2 linked regions of the Oryzias latipes genome follow. The protein of the gene in region 1 interacts with the protein of each later gene in a pairwise test. Links are inferred from orthologs where the notes say so. Each region holds a gene or a part of one and is shown in the gene's direction. Other genes may lie near its edges.

What was found. The genes of interacting proteins can lie anywhere in the genome.
Region 2: the proteins of klhl42 (region 1) and stxbp4 interact in a two-hybrid assay, tested with the Homo sapiens proteins (2 studies listed by BioGRID and IntAct). The two-hybrid records come from large-scale screens. The link is inferred for Oryzias latipes from reciprocal best matches to the Homo sapiens genes KLHL42 and STXBP4.

The regions. Positions count from the first base shown.
Region 1 is NC_019881.2:20,310,601-20,316,605, reverse strand, and holds klhl42 (kelch-like protein 42), read left to right. Parts: upstream 1-2,084; 5' UTR 2,085-2,562; coding exon 2,563-3,592; intron 3,593-4,318; coding exon 4,319-4,773; 3' UTR 4,774-5,414; downstream 5,415-6,005. Other genes in the region: UPF0577 protein KIAA1324-like, read right to left, coding at 709-822. UniProt on the Homo sapiens protein: Substrate-specific adapter of a BCR (BTB-CUL3-RBX1) E3 ubiquitin-protein ligase complex required for mitotic progression and cytokinesis. The BCR(KLHL42) E3 ubiquitin ligase complex mediates the ubiquitination and subsequent degradation of KATNA1.
Region 2 is NC_019877.2:24,479,623-24,485,561, forward strand, and holds the start of stxbp4 (syntaxin-binding protein 4), read left to right. Parts: upstream 1-2,269; 5' UTR 2,270-2,372; coding exon 2,373-2,428; intron 2,429-5,939. UniProt on the Homo sapiens protein: Plays a role in the translocation of transport vesicles from the cytoplasm to the plasma membrane. Inhibits the translocation of SLC2A4 from intracellular vesicles to the plasma membrane by STX4A binding and preventing the interaction between STX4A and VAMP2.

The DNA.
Region 1 (6,005 bases):
TGTTCCAGGTTTTAACAAGACAGATAGTGTGATTTTTTTTTTTAAAATCTTGTACATTATAATGCTAAATAACTCGGTTTAAAGGCACATTTTAACCAGTTTGTGGGGCTGGAAGGTGGTTCTCTATTCTAAATTTGTGACGTCATTGTTTTCTGATTGATTAGATATTTTTCATATTTTAACTCCAAAATCACGTCAATCTAAATGGTTCTACATCTTTAAAAACATCCCCTTCAACCCCCTAATAGTCTAATTTTTTATTTGTTTATTTCTTTGTTATTTACACGTTCCCTCCTCCTGGTGACGCCTGGATCCGCTTTGACACCCCGGCTGGGACTGACAGGATCCCCCCGGACTGATGTGCATCCATCCCGTCAGGTAATCCCTCCCAGCCGGTTGGAGGCCAGCAGACGAGACGGCGGCGCATTTACGGTCAACATGAATCCAAATTTAAGGCTATCAGCACCAGAATGCAGACCGGCTTCGGAACCGGAAACCGTTTGATTGTTTAACTTTGAGTTTATTTACGTTTAGTTTAAATTAATTTATCCCGAGATTTTATTTTGTACATCATTTTTATATATTTTAACCAATTTAAATTAGCGTTGAGGTCATAAATGCGTTAGAACATAGTTTGGGGATTTTTGGCTAATAATAATAAAAATAAAACTGTCGACATTAGCGTTAGGCGAATAAAAACACAGTTACCTTCTGGCATGGCCGCAGTTCTCCTCCGGTCGGCGTGAAGAAGGATGCGGGAGCGGCGATGAGGAGGAGAAGGAGGCAGCGGGAGAAGCAGGAGGTCCACGCCGGCTCCTGCATCCTCACCTGCGGTCACAATCGGGCGTTGTGTCCGCCACCGGGAGCCACAAACACAAAGCAGTCCGAGAGGCGAAGACGCTGCTGTCCCCGTCATGGATGCGCACGCGCCTCCCGCCCTCACCTGCCCAACTCCCCCTCCTCCCTCCATGCAGCGCTGACTGAGGAGAAGCACATCCGGCTACGACCTTCAAAATAAAACAAATTGCCTAAAAAAAGTAAACCATTTGATTAATGTTTTCTGAAGACTTTAAAACAGTCAAAAATTAATATATTTCTCCTCAAAGGAAATATAACCATTCACCAAGTTTGATTTTCATGACATTTTAAATGTATAGTGTAAGATTAAATCAGCTCTTGAAAACGTTGTTTTAATTTTTACCAAATCACATTGAAAAAACAAACTTTGAATATATATTTTAGACGGATCAGTGCAAAAAACAGTAATAAAATGTTGTAGTTGATCAATGTTACTTTTTTATACCATATGTTGACATACTCAGAATTTTGGGAACCTGACTTTAAATATTCTGCATCCCTTCAGTTCAAAGCTCAGTCTTCACTAAAACTAGAACTACGTTAAAAAAGCATAGATGTTGTGTGGTATAAAATTAACTACACCTTACAGTTTTCAAGGTTTGGATCCTACATTGGCACTACATATATTAAATTTGCTCAGTTTGTAGGGGTAAATTCCATCTGACAGAATATTATTGTGGAAGAAAATCCACTTCTGGGTTTTTCCTAAAGAAAGTTGTCAAAATGTTGTCATCTGGTGGATAATGTAGAAATGAGACAACTTGAAAGTATAAACCTGAACTCTAATGACAAAATTAGCAACTTTCCCCCTGTTTTTACAGGTATTTTACATGTTAAAAACAATAAATATCTTATTTTGAAAAATCCTCTAGTTAGTGTTTTGAAACTAATAAAGTAAGATCTTTATCAGTTAAATAGTCTTTTTATTGAATTAGCTTTAGAAATATTTCTTATTGCCAGAAATGCATTTGGAATTTCTAAGCACCATTACTTATATAACATAAAACCAAAAATGAAATGTCTCTTGCTTCCTATCCCTTAGCAAAAAGTAGTACACTTCATCTTTTATCAAGCATTAATGAATATAAGTATACTTTACACTAGGTAAACATGTGAAGTACGTAGCACACTTGTAGTACATATTATAGTATAAATCATCGTTTTATGTTTTCTGCTGCTCAGAGTTTGTTCGCGTTTATTATTATTATTATTATTATTACAGTTTGAAATTTGTCAATAAGTTTAAACACCATTTTCAATGGAGTGTGTTTGTGTGTGTGGGGGTGCAGTTCGTATATTTTCCGCTAGGTGACAGCAGCGTGCGGAAATCAGCTTGATGTACCCACAACGAAGAAACTGTCAAAACAGTCTGTTTTGATTCGCACACCGGTTAGAAAAATGACCGAATAAATAAAAGTTATTTTAAATATGCAGCGTACATTTTTCGGGAAGTGGGGACATTTTTTTGCCGCTGCGTGGAGGCGTGTTAACCGGTGGAAATAGCTGTTTGGGTGAACTTTTGTGCTAGCCGGTTAGCTTCGCTGAATCCAGCTGCTTCATGGAGATCTCTGGGCTGAACGTGACCATATATAGACCGGCCGAAGAGCTCTGTCCGCGGTGAAATGTAAACCGATCGGGGAGCAGACTCAAAGAACGACAACATTTAAAAGATTAAAAAAAACAAAACAAAAAAAGCTCATCATCATGTCATCCGAGCAGGTCATCGCCATCGTCGTGGATGACAAGATCTACGAGGTGGACAAGAAGAAGCTGATCGAGAAAAGCGACTACTTCCGAGCTCTGTACAGTTCCGGGATGAAGGAGTCCACGGAGGACTCTGTGGAGCTGCAGGGGCTCAGCATCCCCGGCCTGGAGCTGGTCCTGGAGTTCATCAACACCTCCAAAGTCCAGGTGGTGAACGAGACTCTGGAGGATCTGATCGAGACTGCCTCCTTCCTACAGGTCACCTCAATCCTGAAGCTCCTGACCTCAGAGATCCGGCTGGACAACTGCGTGGAGCTGTACAACCTCTCTGGGATCTACGGGACCCATGATCTGCGCAGCTCCTGCCTCAAGTACATGAGCTGCTATTACCACCCCATTCTGAGGCGGCCGGAGTTCAGCCGCCTGCCCTCTGCGGTCAGGGACCAGGTCAGGGAGATGCGCATGAAGGGCAGCGCCACCCTGGTGGCCATCGGAGACTTCACCTGCCTGTCCCTGGACGTGCCCGACCAGGACCAGCCCTGGTCCATGCTGCGGTACGGAGAGGTGGAGCAACGCTGGAAGCCCCTGTCCAACCAACTCCCGCCAGATATGGTCAACGTGAGAGGGTACGGCTCCACCGTCCTGGATAACTACCTGTTCATCGGTGGAGGATACAGGATGACCAGTCAGGAGATCTCTGCTGTTCACTGCTACAACCCCTGCAGGAATGAATGGAACCACGTGGCTCCGCTCAACCAGAAAAGGTACGACTTTTCCCCCCCATGGATTCACAAAGGTCAAATCCGAGGCGTTTCACCCTCTGTCCTCTCCTCCAGGTCCAACTTCAAGCTGCTGGCCGTTCAAGGGAAACTCTTTGCTGTTGGAGGCCAGTGTCTGGGCACGGTGGAGTGTTACTGTCCAGAGCAGGACTGGTGGACGTGTGTGTCCTCCATGCCAGACCCTCTGACTGAGTTTTCTGCCTGCGAGTGCCAGGGTTTCATCTACGTCATCGGAGGATACACGGCAAGGGGTGGGTTCGAAAAGAAAAAAAAACAGAAAACCGTTTGTTGTGTTGCTGAAATAGAGGTCAGGATTATGAAACCGGAAGGGAAGATGGTGATGGCTAAACAGTTGTGTCAAACAAAAAAAATTGGATAACAGGAGTGAGACAGGATGAAGACGTCCAGAAAAAAGTATCCTAATCTGCATCCAAAGCAGACTTTTTAGTATTATAAAGATTATTTTATAATGCTGAACACAAATCTTATCAGTAGTTTCTGAAGGATTTAATTTCTTAAGAACAAAAAAACTATCAGTTGCTGTTTTTTTTTAAACACAAAAACACATTTGAAAATAATTTAAAAAAGAAATCAGAATTATCCCCAAAATGTGGTTTGCTTCCTGTTAATGGAATGTAAATGAGAATTGGATTAAGTGACCCCCCCACCCCCTGGCGTACCAAACAGGAAAGTTAAATACTTTTGTGGCTACAACAGTCATCACAGAGGCACAACTATTAGATTTGATGAGTTTTACAAATAAGGGATGAAGTTCTTTTTAAATTAAAACTCCTGCCAATTTTAGTTTAAAAGAGCATCTTTAGGTTTAAAAATGAGGATGATTAAAAGTCAGAGAATAAAAAGTGTCTCAAATTTTTTAATAAACCGTTTGAAATGTCGAAGCTTCAGACGAAAGTGTCAGAAATGAAACCTGTGGATGTTTTTTTTTAGTTATGCTCTCCGTTTGGATCTGACAGACAGAAACACCAGCGTTCTCCGTTACTGCCCCACCTCCGACTCCTGGGCCGTGTTCCGGTCCTGTTCGGTCCACATTCGCAAGCAGCAGATGCTGTCGGTGGAGGACACCATCTACCTTGTGGGCGGTTACACCCACGAGCTGCAGACGGGTTGGTGCCGGCGCCGCCCGAGCCAGACCGAGGACGTCCTGACGGTGCATTCCTACAACGTGACCACCGGGGAGTGGCTCCAGCTCAAGGAGAACACGTCCAAGTCGGGTCTGAACCTGACCTGCGCGCTGCACAACGACGGCATCTACATGATGAGCCGGGATGTGAGCCCGCTCACCAGTTTGGAGCACCGCGTCTTCCTCAAGTACAACATTTTCTCAGACGCCTGGGAGGCCTTCAGGCGCTTTCCTGCTCTCGGGCAGAACACGCTGCTGTGCTCGCTTTACCTCCCCAATGTGCTATGACTGTTGGAGGGGGGGGGGGGGGCGGAGACCTGAGCTCTAACACAGGATTGGAGGAGACCAAGTCAACCTATGTGCCTCAAAACTATCGGAGCCAAAAAAAAAAAGAAGTGCCTCTGATCTGTTAACACAGTTATAAGAATATAAATGCACCCTCTGAAAACCGTTTCCCATCATGCAGTTCCATCTTTGCAGGAACAAGCTTCATATTTCTTCATGCAGAGTTTTAAATGTGGTCTCTCTCAGCATTTTCCTGATGTTTACACTACAGACACAGACGAGTGCGTCGGTCCAGATTTCACCTCAAACCTTTGAGTGGCTGCATTTGTGGTCGTGCACACAGCGGACAGCCGTGGCCTTGGTTTGATGCCGCCAAACGGGGCACTGTGTGCTCGCTGCACGGTTTCAGAAACACTAGACGGCACTCTTCCATGAACTGAAAGATGCACGTGCCTTCTGCTGCCTCACTCTAAACAACTCAAAAAAAGAATTATTACAATTGACTAAATCTGTTCTGTTTTTCTTTTCTTTTCTTTTTTTTAAACTTTTTTTTAAATGATGTACTTGTTTTGGGTTTTTGTTTCCAGGAAAAAGAGTTAAGTCTTTGGAAACTATGACAAAATAAAGATTTCTTTGTATGTCAAGTTCCTGAGTGGTTTCATTAACTGATTCTAAAGTCTTAAATGAAAAAAGGAAAAAATGTAATCTGATAATCTATGATTCTGTGATCCGAGTAAACCTGTCCTTGCATAAATAAACAGCACCATTTATTAATTATATAAAATGTGAGTTAGTGTCATTGAAACGGAAATTTTTTTTGTTAACTTTGTTGAAGCCTTGTTGACTTAAATCAAGTAATGAAAACTTCCTTTTACAAAAAATGTTCATATTTTCAGTGTTTTGTTTTATGTTTGTCAAATTCTTTCGGAAAGCTTTGAAACATTAAACAAAATAAAAACGATGATCAATAAGCTGAATGATGCGAATCACGGAAGTTTTCAAAAATCTTTTTACCTAATAAGTAGTAAAATATGTGTAAAAACAGGGAGAGATGTTTTTCCAAATTTAGAAGTAAATATTAGAGATTAACATAAATATTTCCTAAAACGTATTTGTTGATTTCATTTCATTTATTTCTCCATGATCAAATGGGAATTTCTGGAACAGCCTTCATGCTGAAACATGAAAAAGCTTAGATGAGGCAACCACTAGGGGGCAGCACACACCTTTCAATG
Region 2 (5,939 bases), on another chromosome or scaffold:
CCTTCTGATTCACCACTTTGAACAAAGAATTGGTCAATAACCCAGTTTAATGTTTATTTCCTTTATATATATATATATCCCCCATCATAAGGAAAAGTGCCACAAGAACATGTTAAAAACTCCAAAATCACCATTTTCAGCTAGCTTTTTCAAAAGTCCAATTGTTGTTTTTTTTCTTCATTTACCTGCAATGATTGGAGAAATACTGCAGGGGTCACTAGAGAGGGAGTAACAGTTTAGGTAATGTGTCTGTACACTCCTTGAGATGTCCTCATCACTAGTATATACACAGTTATCATTTCCTATGAGGCACCTAGTAAACTATTTTACTTCTTATCTTAGATTATGAAAGAAATCAGGAAAAAGGGGATCACAATGCTGAATTTCAGTCTTGTAACTAAAAAGCAGAAAAGCCAAACTCCTACATTTGGTTGCTGTTCAGACACAGGTACTATACAGGTACTATACTGTCATGGTGCCCCGGGGTATCTACTCCTTCTCCCCCCCCATGCAGAATTTACTCTGTGTGTCCCACCATTGGACTCAGCTGCTCCCCTCTTCAGCATTCCTGCTCTGAGCTCTATTTAAGATGTTCCTGTTCCTGTGTTCATCGCCAGTTCATCTGCCCTCTACGGAGGTACCACCTTCGTGAAATCGATGACGTTTAAAAAATAAAAAAGGAGTGAGCATGGTGTCCGTATTGGTTTTACTATTCAGGATACTATATAGTTTTTTAGTTGTTAGGGTGGGAATTGGGACAGCTATTGTCTGTGCATCGCCACAAAACGAGGACTACTCCATTCACCGTCTTGGACTGCATCCAGCACTCACTTCCTCCTCCACTGGGACTCACGCTCTTCCATCATCCCATCATCGTGGCTTCCTCCTCCAGCCACAGAACACCTCTCCAGAATACCAGTTTCTCTTGATCTCTTCCGTGATCTTTCCGGGTCTGGGTCTGTAACCGTTCTCCGCTAACATGACACTCTCAAGATCCACAATCGTGCCATTCTATTAGGGCTACTCTGAGGTCAGGTGACAAAGGTTGGGTCTGCTCCATTGACTGTATATAGCTGGACAATCGCATGGGACATCACCCATAGAAAATGCCTTGCTTCCGGTTCCAACCGAACAAAGTCAATTCAGTCGCCATTTTGACTCCTTTCCCATTTTGGAACCACACATCCTCAGTGAGGATGGAGGATTGGCCTGTCTATTTCAATGGCAACCACTCTCTCCAATCAGGAGTGATTAAGTTAGAAGGCCACACCCCTACCACTGAAAGCGGGCTCCGAACAATCTGTCAATCCAATGCTTCAAATGTTTGATGCCAGGCTTTTATTGAGGCATCTGAATGGTCAGTTGATAACTTGTGCTCCAGCAAAAATATCATGAAAAAAAAAACAGAATTAGCAATAACATGTTAATAATAGGCAGTAGAACAAGAACGGTTATTCTGACTAACATAATGGCAGAGTAATAGCTGTTCATTCATTAATAGAAGTCTACAGGATTTTGGCTTTTGGAACCAGCGGGTTCCACAGAGTATCTTAGTACTATTTGGAACGGGAAGGGGAGAGGTAGTTCAGTCCAGTCCTTATTTTACGGACAATGGTCTGCTCCAGTTGCCATCCTATTTACATTTCCCAGAAGTCTCTGCAAAATACCAGTGGACATCATCTATGCTCAGAAGATTTGCCCAATATAGACCACAAGGAATTACGCTTGAACGATTTTTTTCATGTTCAAAATGTATTTTAATTTTTTAAACCATGCACCCAAGTTTTCATCCTCAGAACACAGGATTCATAAATAGTCTTCCTAAATAATTCATTAGGTTTCTACTTTGGGAAATCTGTGACGTCATAATTGTCGTTTAAAAAAAGTTGCACACATTGTGTTCAAATTGCTCTTAAAATCCATGTCGCTAGATAGTTCTGCACAATGTATAGATTTTTAGTAGTCAGGGAGTCTGGAGGGAATTGGGATTTCGCTAAAAAGATCAGCAGACGCCAAACCTGCTTTACATATAGATAAATGAAAGCAAAAGTTTTTTAGCTGTAAATTGTTTATTAGCGTCGTACTCTCTGAATTTTTTATGTTTCTGAATGTTAAACTGTTTTTTTTTCCTTTCTGATAATTGCTGACCTTAGTCCGTGAGCAGCGGCGCGTTCCTTTCCTGAAGTTTTCACCTGCTCTCGGGAGCGTTCAACTTGGATTAGCGGGAAAAGATAAGAGCGCGCGCGCGCCTGCAGGAGGATTTGCTAGCTGCCCCGGCGCCGCGCGCGCTCTCAGCCAGAGAGCCGCTCGGAGCCGCCGAGCTCATCTGTGTGTTTTTGTGAGGCGGGGTCAGTCACACCCCCGCGGCGGCGATGCCGTTCCTCCCCCAGGACGCGGAACGCTTCGATGGACTGTCGCTGTTGTACTGGTGAGTGCCCCCCGCCCCCTTTAAGACAGTCGCGGGTCACCAGAACGTGTTTGCGTGTTAGTAATACGGACATGATTGTTTGTTGCTGCTTGCACGCGCGCGTCTTCAGTTCGTGTTGTCATTGTGGGGTTGTGCTCCTTTTCCAGCGTGGTTCAATGGTCGCCTTCAAATATTTTTGGGAACACGCTTGGAAAAATAAGGAACAAAGTTGACGGTTCTTCTTTTCCTTTCTCCTTCAGATGACAGCAGTGTTTATTTTTGAAGTCACACATTTAAGGAGTATTTTTCCTTTCACGTGGCCAAGTCACGGCTCGTGCAGGTGTTTCAGTCTGATCCTAACAGAAACAAGTCAAAGTGACTTAAGGTTCAGTGTTCTTCTTTCAATAAAACAATAAAAACATCTTCCTGATCTCTTTATATAATTTCACTCACTTAGCTTTTTGGTGCACGGCGTGCATGGATGCATGAAGGCACGCACGCGCAGCATAATCTGACTGTGAGCTCATGATGACATGTCAGTTCAGGTAATGAGTTAATAATAGAGCCGCTTTGTTTGCTGCAGGTCGTGTGCTGATCCTCACTCCTCCTCTTCCACCACAGTGCAGCATCACCAAAGTTAAAGGAAAACTATTCTTCCTGCATCTGAAGAATGTGCACAATGTCTTTTACGCATCACCATACTGGCTCTAAACATTTTAAACTGCAATTTGGCTTAAAAATCTGCTTTATCCACGTGTCCAGGTTGTTATTGTTTAGTGCAGAGAAAGCATTTTGAAGGCCCTCAAATGCAAAAGGAGAATCTACTCCATCCCATGTAGGAGGCACCAGCATGGATGAAGATCATCTGCTGGACCATTTTAATATGTAGTTGTTGAGTTAGATCAGTTAGTTCTTATCTATGAGTTCTGGTAAATCGCCTGTCCGTCCTGGGGGAGGATCCCTCCTTCATGTGGACCCCCCTGAGGTTTCTTCATTTTTTCCGAAATCCGTTTTTTTTAGGAGTTTTTCCCTATAGAAGGAGGGTCTAAGGGCAGGGATGCCAGTTTAGTTTAGTCTGTTTAGTTAAAGTTTATTATCCTATTGAATTCTATGCATTTATGATCCTTTTTGATAGTATGTTTACCTTACAGTTACTGGTATGAAGCCCATTGAGACGACTGTTGTTGTGAATTTGGGCTATAGAAATAAAATTGAATTGAATTGAATTGAATTGCAGGGATGTGTCCGTGGTGTATTGGCTCTTTGGACCAGGTAAATGGCGTTTGCTTATGCAGGACTCTACTACCTTCCTTAAAAGCCCAAAGCACCCTACAGTCACAGTCCCATTCACCCATGCACACACACATAGGGATGTGACGATAACCGTATCACCGCACGTTTTTTTTTTGTTTGTTTTTGTTAAGTTTTGCATATGGCGCGTCAATGGAGCCATAATAAACACATTAAACACATTCATCTTTCCTGATAATTGACTTTTTCTGCTAGTCCTGTGTTCAGACTTTCCTTCTTTCTTTCAGACTGTTTTCTCCTTCTCTCCCACCGCTCTCTCTCATAGGCGCGCGCTCTCAGTGCCTCCGCGCTGCACGTGCCACGCTGCTCCCTTTACACACAGGAGCGCGCTTTCAGAAGCACACAAACTCATTCTACAACAGAAGTTTTCGTCTCGCGAGGAAATATGACAAATTTACCGCGTTCTAATTGTTAATTTACATTGTATTCATTTCCGTTTCAAGCTGCATGCGTTCTTAAGGGCGCGCGAAACGGCCGCCCGCCGGAGGATTTTGTGTGTAGGGAGGGGGGGGGGGGGTTATTAGGGTTCACCTTCACTCCAAACATGAACGCGCGCTGTTAGATTTCCATGAATATCACTACATGTTTTGTTTGGGAACTATTTTTTGCAGCGTAACGTTACGTGTCTGTATAAACAAAGGCGGAGCCTCCTGGCCCGTGTTCTTCATGGCTACCGGAAAAGTGAAAAAAGTGTCTGCAGTCTGTTTATTACTGGGCAATATTTAATATTCTGAGAAAATGTGTGTGCCAAAGAGCACGGGTGAAGGCTCGCGTGCAGCTAGAGAGCGGTCCGCTGCAGAGGGATCAACACGCACCACCAACAAACATGTGCGCACCTTCCTCCTACGTACATGCAGCGCTGACCCACACAGTCACAGTCAACCCACAACACCTATATGGGCTTTATATATAGTTAGTTCATTAGTTTGGTAGTAGTTAGTTGTTACTGTTATTTTATAATAAAGAATACTACGTTGTAATTGTATTTTTTTTTTTTTTTTTTGTTTTTTTTTTTTGGGGGGGGGGGGGGGGGGGGCTGCGGTTAACCGCGACACCGCGCCCCCTGGTGGTTCATCACCGCGGTGATGAAAAATCCGACACCGTCACAGCTCTACACACACATTCACACAATAATAATAATAATGGATTAGATTAATTGCACTTTTTCTTGGTGCTCTAAGTGCTTACATTGTGTCCATTATTCATTCACTCCTCATTCGTTCTTGGTGATGTAGCTACTGATGTACCACAGCTGTCCTGGGGCAGACTGACAGAGGCGTGGCTGCCAGTTTGCGCCTACGGCCCCTGTGACCATCACCGGGACATTCATACACATTCACACACCAGTGGAGCCACAGTGGAGCCACAGTGGAGTGTCTTGCCCAAAGACACAATAAACAGTTGGCTGGGGGGAGCGGGGATCGAACCACCGACCCTTCGATCAATGGACGCCCCTGCCGCCCCTGATGGTGGCTCTTCTGCCTAACACTGGCACTATACTACCAGGAGCAATGTGGGCCTCAGTGTCTTGCTCAAGGACACTTCAATAGGCGGGCAGGGCAGAAATCGAGCTGGTGATCTTCGGTGATCAGAAGTTCAGAGGCTGACCACTCTACCTCTGCACCACAGCCACCCATGGACTCATCTCCACTTGGGAAAGGTAATCCCAGTGATTCATGACTTGGAGATGATATTACATCTTACCTGAGAGGGTCTTGGACCCAGCAGGCTGTTTTCATGTCCCCTCCAGCATGTGATGGGTTGGTCAGTACTGGAGCCTGGCTGGCCTTGGTTTGAAACTCTTTCTCCCAGTCGGGTGTCTCTGGAGAAGAAGGGGTTGTCCTTGTCTTTGTCCCGTGTCACACCTCTCTGGGGGCTGGCTGGTGATCTGCATGCGGGGCGGCCATTGTGTAGAGGTAGATTGGTCGACCTCTGATCGGAAGATCGCTGGTTTGGTTCCTGCCTTGCCCGCCCATGTGTCAAAGTGTCCTTGGGCAAGACAATGAAGCCCACCATGCTCCTGGTGAGTATAGGTTGGTGTCAGTGTTGGGCATCAGAGCCACTATCCGTAGCTGAATGGGACTGTGACTGGAAGCCCTTTGGGCCTTCTGAGAAGTTAGGAAAGCGCTATACAAGTAAACGCCATTTACCATTTATGTTGGAGTTCCAACAGACTGCTTCTAGAAACGATGGTTGTTGTTCAGGACTCACGAGCAATTTT